2 linked regions of the Oryctolagus cuniculus genome follow. The protein of the gene in region 1 binds, or shares a complex with, the protein of each later gene. Links are inferred from orthologs where the notes say so. Each region holds a gene or a part of one and is shown on either strand. Other genes may lie near its edges. The genes, in order: MDC1 and PELI1.

Region 1 (4,310 bases):
CCGAGCCCGCCGCTGATTGGCCGCGGCCGACAGGCGCCGGCCGCCCATTGGTCTCCACGCTGGCGGGCCAGCGCAGTGCTCCCTGGGAGTTGTAGTTCCCTATTGTTGTGCACGCTGCAAAAAAAAAAAAAATTCCAGCGACTAGGGGTGGGTACCGGCCGCGTCTGCGTGTGTTTGCAATAGAGCAGGACTGTGTCTGCGGTTCTTTCCCTCTGTGCCTGAGTTCTTTTGTGCAGAAAGGGGGCTGTTCTCGGGGATGCAGGGGTTGGGGAGTCCTGGGTGCCGGGGGCTGGGAGGTGAGGAGGGCACGCCCAGAAAGCTCCCTGTAGTAGCAGCTGTCTGAAGACAGGACTGCTAAGCTCAGCGAAAACCAGGGAGCGGTGCAGCACTCTGGCCCTTGGGTGACCCAAAGCCTGAACCCGCATAAGCCGCTGCCCCCTCGGATTGCCTTCCTGATATCTCCCTGGGAGTCTGGGACTGAGAAAGTTGCGACAGAGAAACAAAACTGTAGCGAGGGTCTTTTGGGATGTAGCTATTGTTCAAGGAGTAAGTTGCAGCGTTTAGAGGAAGTGCTGAGATTTGCAGCCTCCGTTATGGGGATGTGGGCCTTGGAAAACAGCTTGATTTTCTTGTGAAAACGGGGAACTAGGGAGTCTGAAGCTTCATAGGATTTCGGTCTTTCCAGACGGCCTGTCCAGATTGATGAAATCGGTGCGTTTCAGTTTCACTGACTAGGCGGGCGGTGGCCATTGCAGAGGGGGAGGGGTGACTGAAAGAGTGGAAAATGGAATGGGCTTCCACGGGGTCCACCTGCTTCCCAAGGACTCACTCATTTGGTAGGTACTACCTATCCACCAACCCAGGAGCAAGAGATACAAAAATGATTAAGAATCCGTTCCCTGGCCTCCAGGACCTTGCAGTTCGATGAGAAATGCGGTAAGCACCAGTCTAGAGAGGTGTGGTCCCAGTCAAGGTCATTGTTAATCCACATTCCATCAGCATCAGCGCACATTTCTAAATCACCTTCCAAATGAAGGAGCGTTAAGTGAGTGTAGGACCCTTGTACTCCATTAAAATATCTTATGTTTTCGGGCATGCTCACAACGAAAGCAGCTTTTCTGCAGTAAAGAGCTCAGATTTAGAACTGGAGGACTTGTTTCCATTTGTCTCTGCATTAGGAACCCAGCGAGTCATTTAACTTCGCAGAGCTGCAGAGATAAAATCTACTTCTGTTTGGTTCTCGTGGCCCGAGCTGAGATAACAAACGGGAAAGAGCTACCTAAAGTAGATCCCTATCAAATTATTTCCTGGTCTCTTCATGTCTCGTTATAATGAAATAAATTACTTTCCATCCTTGCCTTGCCCCTTGAAAAGTGAGGCCAACCTTTTAAAACGGTTAGCAAAACAGTTTCCTCTCTTAGGCTTTGGATTTTTATTTTAGGATCTTCCGTTTAGGAAAATGTCCTCAAAATGTCCGTCGGGGATGTATTCTCAGGAGGAAATGACACGACTTCTACTAAACAAGCGAAATCAAAAGGCAATGAAATTCCACTGCAGTGAGGAGCCTCAAGTGCCACGCCTACGGGCTGTCCTCCAAACTGCAGCCTGGAGCCACGACTGCAATCCGCAACCCATTTGTTTCTCCTGAGTCAGCGGACACCATGTCTGGGAGGACCGGAAAAGGGCGCTCTGGCCGGACCAGACGCGGCCGACGACTGTAGTACAGAGACGCTCTATCCGCCGCCAGAAACTGGCGCCAGACTCTCTGGTCGCGGTTTGGAAGTCTGCGCGGGAAGTGGGCGGTGGGCCATGAAACGGCAGTGGGCGGTCCCTTGGAGCTGGCCAATCAGAATGCGCTATTTCGCGCGGCCTCCGATTACTCTTCCTCAACTGAGCACTGTCTCCCGGGAGATGCTTTCCTTTTGAACTGTGGGGGGACGGTTGGGGGAGGGGATTCGAATGTGCCGCCGCTCTGTGGGCGTCATCAAATCAACGTGCAGGACGGTCGTGAAGGACAGCGACAACAGCCAATCAGCGAGCCGGGTCCCTTCCGGCGCACGCATTCGCACCGCCCCGGTCGCGACCGTTACGGGTGGCGCGCGCGCGCGTACTCCAAGTAGGTGAGTTCTGAGGGCCTCGCCCACATCTTCGCGGGTACCATCTTGATTCCGACGGAGGGCGGGAGGGGCGTGCCCTGGGTGCGACTGGGCGGAGGTAATTCGAAAGTTTGTGGGACTGTAAATGCCCACCCTCACCTGACGCCTCTCCTCGCCCCGGGAGGCGTTGGATCCCGACGGAGCCCCACTGGGCGGGGATCAAAGATGGTGGTCCTTTGATTCCAAGGCGAGGAACGCGGGCGCCCGCTGGGCTGGCCCGTCTTAAGGCCGAAGTGAACCTTTTCGCCTCGGGGGCGTCCTCCTTTCCCTAGCTGCCCGTTTCCCTCTTTGTAAGTGAACTCCATCCTTATTTCTTCCTTTCATTCTGCCCCTAGCAGGCTCAGTGAGGCAGCCCTGCGAGGGCAGGGTGCATGTAGGGTTTGCCTCACGGATGTGGCCCCCGTTCTTTGATCAGCCCTAGGCGCGCCGTCACCACCGTAGAACGACCGTGATGGGCACCGGGGGGAAAGGGAGAGTTCCGGGGGGAGGGGCGGCGGAGTGTGAGAGTGGTGGTTACAGGGTAGGCGCAAGGCCGTCGGCCACCAGGGTCACCGGAAACTAGGAAGGACTTTAATGAGGGGAGGACATTTGAACAGAGGACGGCGATTACTGTTACTATCGATTTGAAAGTCGGGGCTGTGCCGGGCCCACACCAGGAGCCTGGAACTCAATCCCAAGCCTCCCACGTGGGCGGCCGTTGCCCGCTGCCTCTCAGGGTACCCGCTAGCAGGAAGCTGACACTGGAAGCGGAGTTGCGCTCGGATGTGAGATGCCAGCGTCTTCAGCGCTGCGCCTGAACTAAAGCCCCCAGGGTGGGCAGGAGTCGATCAGGAAACCAGGAGGGAAGGGCCTTGGGCATCAGCTGTGGGGCCGAGGGGAGTGTGTTTATAGAGGCTTGGTTGGACCGCATGCGGGTCAGCGGAGTGAGGGTGGGGGCTTGCAGTGCCCAACAAAAGGCTTAAGTGGGGTGGAGGAGGTTTGCTGAGGAGTTTAGGTTTTATTTTACCCTGGGAAAACCATCAGAAAATATTAAAAAGAGAGATCTGAGTGACTCTGAGCAAGTTCCTTCACCCATATATGTTGTTTTAGCTAAAAGAAAAAGATAATAATAATGCCTCTTTACAGGGTTCTTGTGGAGACTAAGTGAGGCAGTCAGTGTAAGAAACCGGAATCCTCTCTATGTCGACTATTAGGAGTTTTTGTAATTTAGTCTGATCACGCCGAGGTGCTCTGGCAAAGTGTAAAAAGTACGGGCAGTACAACCAAAAGAACATTTCTTCTTACCTGTCTACTTAACCTGCTGTGTTATCCGGAGCAAATTATCTCATATTTTCAGCGTTAGTTTCCTAAATGTCTACCTCTGTCGTCTACTGTGCGTGACACATAATGCCCAGCACAGACTTGGCGTGTATGAGCAGTGGGCTGCAGCCCAGTTGTGGATAGTGAAGTTCATTTAATAGGTTGTAAATGTTCATTTAAAAAGTATAAGGAGAGGTGCTGACATTGTGGTACACAGGGTTAGCCACAGCCTACAATGCTGACATACCATATTACTGTGGCTGCTCTGCTACCAATCCAGCTCCCTGCTAGTGTGCCTGGGAAAGCAAAAGAAGATGGCCCAAGTGCTTGGGCCCCTGCCACCTGCATGGAGTTCCTGGCTTCTGGCTTTAGCTGAGTCCAGCCCCCTCCATTGTGACCATCTCTGTTGCTCCCTCCTTCTTTGTTTCTTCTGTCTTTCAAATACAATAAATTTAAAAATATAGAGAATAGGAAAAACAGAAATAAGAATTTTAGTGTATTATCGTAGCATTGTTTCTCAAAAAATATATAAATAAACATGTTTGTATATATTTGTGTAATGAGGACCTTGTAATATTTATCTTTCTTTGTGTCATGGTCAAAAATATATACTTTTTAAATATTTGTTTATTTGAGAGGCAGAGTTACAGAGGAAAAGGTCTTCTATCTGTTGGTTCACTCCCCAAATGTCTGCAACAGCCAAAGCTGGGCCAGGCAGAAGCCAGGAGCCAGGAGCATCTTCCAGGTCTCCCACGTGGGTACAGGGGCCCAAGCACTTGGGCCATTTTCCACTCTTTTCCTAGGCACATTAGTAGTGACCTGGATCGGAAGTGGAGCAGCCAGCACTCAAACCTG
Region 2 (3,810 bases), on another chromosome or scaffold:
TCAGAAGCCAGAGCTAGATATTGAACCGGACACTGATGTGAGACACAGGCGTCTTAACAAGTAGTCTAAATTCCTGCCGTAACATTGTGTATATCCAGTTAATGTGTATAACAGAGTCTTTAAGCCTTGAGTCCTTAAGTCCTTAAATCCACTATTACTATTTGGGAGCTAGTGTGTGTAGAAAAGGGACTGTTTGATTTTGCTTCTTTGCAGAGATAGGATTTTATATTAAGTAGGCAGTGGAAGTAAATGCCTTATTGATCCAATTGAGGAGCTTCTTAGAGTACTTCCCTACAAGAGTGCTCTTGGCATTTTGGGTCTACCAATTCTTCATTGTGATGGCCAAAACATGCTTTTACATATTTTCAGATTCCCCTTGGACAACTAGTAACTTCTTCTGGTTGAGAACCGTTGTTGGGGAACATATTTATATTCCATACCTCTGTAATAGTCTTTTCTGGATTTTTCTTCCTATTTTTACACTGTCATACCTGTCATGTTTTCATTGTTACCTCCTTTTCATTCTTACTTGGCAAAAGAATCTTGAAGATCAAAGACTGATTACTTCCTCTAAATTTTCACAGAATATATTAAGTTCATGAGGAGGATAAATGTTTAGTCTGGAAGTCATCTGGAGTGAGTGATTAAAACTGCCTTCCAATCCAGTGAGACTCAGATTTAACTTGACATAGTTCTTATTCCCAGTCTAAGAGTGGGTTTGGGGCTGGTGTTGTGGTTTAATGGGTAAAACCAGCGCCTGGGACGCCAGCATCCTGTATGGGTGCCAGTTTGTGTCCTTGCTGCTCCACTTTCAGTCCAGCTCCCTGCTAATGTACCTGGGGAAGCAGCTCAAGTTTTTGGGTTGCTGTACTCAAAATGGGAGACCTGGAAGAAGCGCCTGGCTCCTGGCTCCAGTCTGACTGAACCCTGGCTGTTGTGGCCATTTGGAGAGTGAACCAGCAGATGAAAGACCTTTCTCTTTGTCTCTCTGTCTATCTGCCTTTGAAATAAATAAATTGTTAAAAAAAAGACAAAAATTATAATCTTAAGGCACATAAAGCTAGTGTTTTTAAATCTTTCAAGCTGTTAAGAATTCAAGCAATTTTTGGTTGAAAGCCGGTTGCTTAATGGTGAGTTTAATTTAGGTTTTAAAACCTGTGAAATTAGTATGTAATGTTTATGAATACATAAATGTGCACTAAAAAGTATTAGCAGTATGCATGTAAATGATCTGTATTGGAGAATGGGCAGATAGGTAGGAATACATAGGCAAATACAGTTGCAAATACAGTTTAATTTCTTGAAAAAAATCAAAATTAAAAGTGATATTTGTTAAGCTTTGATAAAACTGGATAGTTAATATCCAGGTACTTGTTTATTCTGTTTATATACTTCAAAATTTGATGGTTTTAATTAAAGTTATTGTTTTAAAGCTTTAAATTCTTACAGTTTAGCTACAAATGATAAACTTCTAATTAAAGAACATTTTATAGTTTAGCTTCTTTGCTGTGTGTAATCACTCTCCGTTTCTTTATGTCTGTTTTCCTCTCATGCAGCCGTTTCCACATCCTTTGTACATGACTAGGTTTTTCCTCCCTTTGATATTTTCTCCAATTCATGTACATACAACACTCCTGAAAACAAAACTGAAAAGTTCTTTTTAGCAACGTTTTTAGTTTGAGATAAGTCAAATACGTGCATGAGTGTTACATCTCTTTCCTTTGGTAATTTTAATCATTCTATGAATTTTTTTGCATCTGTAGAGTCACAAAATGGATAGACAGCCAGTTAAGTCAGCTTACTGGTTAACTTTTTAACTCTGAGTGACTTTAAAAATAAGATTCTTGGGTTGGACATTTAACCTAGTGGTTAAGAAACAAATCCCATGTCACAGTACCAGTGGTCGGTACCCAACTTTGGCTTTTGATTCTAGCTTCCTGTTACTGTAGACCCCTAGAGAAGGGGATGATGGTTCAAATACTTGAGTTTTTGCCACCTATGTAGGTGATCTATGTTGAGTTCCCCATTCCTGGCATCAACCTAGTCCAGCGCCAGGCATTTGGTGAGTGAGCCAACAGATAGGAATCTGTCTCTCTACCTCTCAAATAAAAATTTTAAGTGAAGAATTTTTAATGGAAATAAAATTCTTTTGGGGCCAGCGCTTTGGTGCAGCGGGTTAACACCCTGGCCTGGAGCAACGGTATCCCATATGGGCACCCGTTCGAGACCCAACTGCTCCACTTCTGATCCAGCTCTCTACTATGCCCTGGAAAAGTAGTAGAAGATGGCCCAAATCCGTGGGCCTTTGCACCTGCATGGGATACCCGGAAGAAGCTCCTGGCTCCTGGCTTTGGATCAGTGCAGCTCCAGCCGTTGCAGCCAATTGGGGATGGATGGTTCTCCTCTCTCTCTTTTTCTTCTCTTTCTTTCTCGCTCTCTTTCTCTCTGCCTCTCCTCTCTCTGTGTAACTCTGACTTTCAAATAAATAAATAAATCCTTAAAAAAAAAGATTCTTTCAAGATTCTGTATTTTCTCATCAGATTAGTACTGAGTATTGTTTTCACTTTCTACAAGGGGTTTTTTCTTAAATATTTATTTATATATTTGAAGGTCATAATTATAGAGAGAGGGGTCTTCTGTCCACTGGTTTCTCTCACCAAGTGGCCAGGGTGAAGCCAGGCCAAAGCTAGGGGCTTCTTCCAGATCTCTTACGTGGGTGTCAGAGGACCAAGCACTTGGGCCATCTTCCACTGCTTTTCCCAGGCCATTAGCAGGGAGCTGGTTTGGAAGTGGGGCAGCCAGGACACAAACCAGTGCCCATATGAAATGCTGGTTGTCTCAAGGGGCAGTACACACTACACCACTGCACCACAACCCTGTCCCAGAATTTGGTTTTGATTTCTTTAAAATTTAAAATAATTGTAGGAGAGACCCAGATTGTATAAGTTTTTGATTTTATTTAAAAGTATGTTCTTACCTGAGAAGTCACTGTCACAGCTAAGGCTTTTCAATAGTTATTAACCTCTCTCAAGTTTCAGGGGGTAAATGCATAAATGTGTCATATATGTGATTTACTTTTTGTACTGATTTGATTGACCTGCCTACTAATTTTTGTTACTAACGTTTTTCTCCTAGGCAATAAGCAACAAGGACCAGCACAGTATATCCTATACTTTATCTCGGGCCCAGACAGTGGTGGTTGAATATACTCATGACAGCAACACTGATATGTTTCAGGTATTACAACATTTTCAACTTTTTTTTCTTAAAAAACAGAACAGTTAAAAGTCTATTGTCTGTAACTTTTCCTATGATCAGATTAAGGATCATCATAGCTTAATAATGTATTTCATATATATGACGGGTCTTCAGAAAGTTCATGGAAAATGTATAAAAAAGCAATGCACTGATTTCAGGTTTTTTTTGCATCAAAATAAACTTTACCTTTTAATTTCATTTTTCATGAGCTTTTTAAAGTCCTTCAGGCATATTGAAAACCTCATATGTTGAATTCAGCATAACAGTAAGAGTCAAGCGTTGGGATTAGAATTTCTGGTATACGTTACTTGGCTGCTCTGTGTCTATTTCCTCCTCTATAAAGTGCTGGTAATAGAAACTCCCTCCCAGGTGTTAGGAATAAATAAGTTTGTGTGTTACATACTCAGAGCTGGGCCAGGTACCTGGAAAGCTCTTGGCAAATGTTAGCTATTATTATCAGAAAAAAAAAAAAAAGAGAGAGAGAAAAGTAATCAAGAACTATTCTGCACACATAAGTGACCTCTTGTCCACTACCTCCCACCTTCCTGTACA

What was found.
Region 2: the proteins of MDC1 (region 1) and PELI1 are in contact, whole or in part, in a crystal structure (PDB 9IF9), measured with the Homo sapiens proteins. The link is inferred for Oryctolagus cuniculus from reciprocal best matches to the Homo sapiens genes MDC1 and PELI1. Residues at the interface, in NP_055456.2 of Homo sapiens: Glu761, Asp762, Ser763, Glu764, Thr765, Gln766, Pro767, Phe768, Asp769; in NP_065702.2 of Homo sapiens: Arg104, Ser105, Thr106, Glu107, Thr115, Asp116, Val130, Gln131, Ser132, Thr133, Ile134, Ser135, Arg136, Phe137, Thr185, Asn186, Thr221, Arg222, Ser223, Ala224, Cys247.

Annotation. Positions count from the first base shown.
Region 1 is NC_091436.1:139,721,411-139,725,720, forward strand, and holds the start of MDC1 (mediator of DNA damage checkpoint protein 1), read left to right. Parts: upstream 1-1,455; 5' UTR 1,456-2,120; exon of another isoform or gene 2,121-2,446; intron 2,447-2,809; exon of another isoform or gene 2,810-2,968; intron 2,969-4,310. UniProt on the Homo sapiens protein: Histone reader protein required for checkpoint-mediated cell cycle arrest in response to DNA damage within both the S phase and G2/M phases of the cell cycle.
Region 2 is NC_091433.1:138,702,632-138,706,441, forward strand, and holds part of PELI1 (E3 ubiquitin-protein ligase pellino homolog 1), read left to right. Parts: intron 1-3,135; coding exon 3,136-3,237; intron 3,238-3,810. UniProt on the Homo sapiens protein: E3 ubiquitin ligase catalyzing the covalent attachment of ubiquitin moieties onto substrate proteins. Involved in the TLR and IL-1 signaling pathways via interaction with the complex containing IRAK kinases and TRAF6.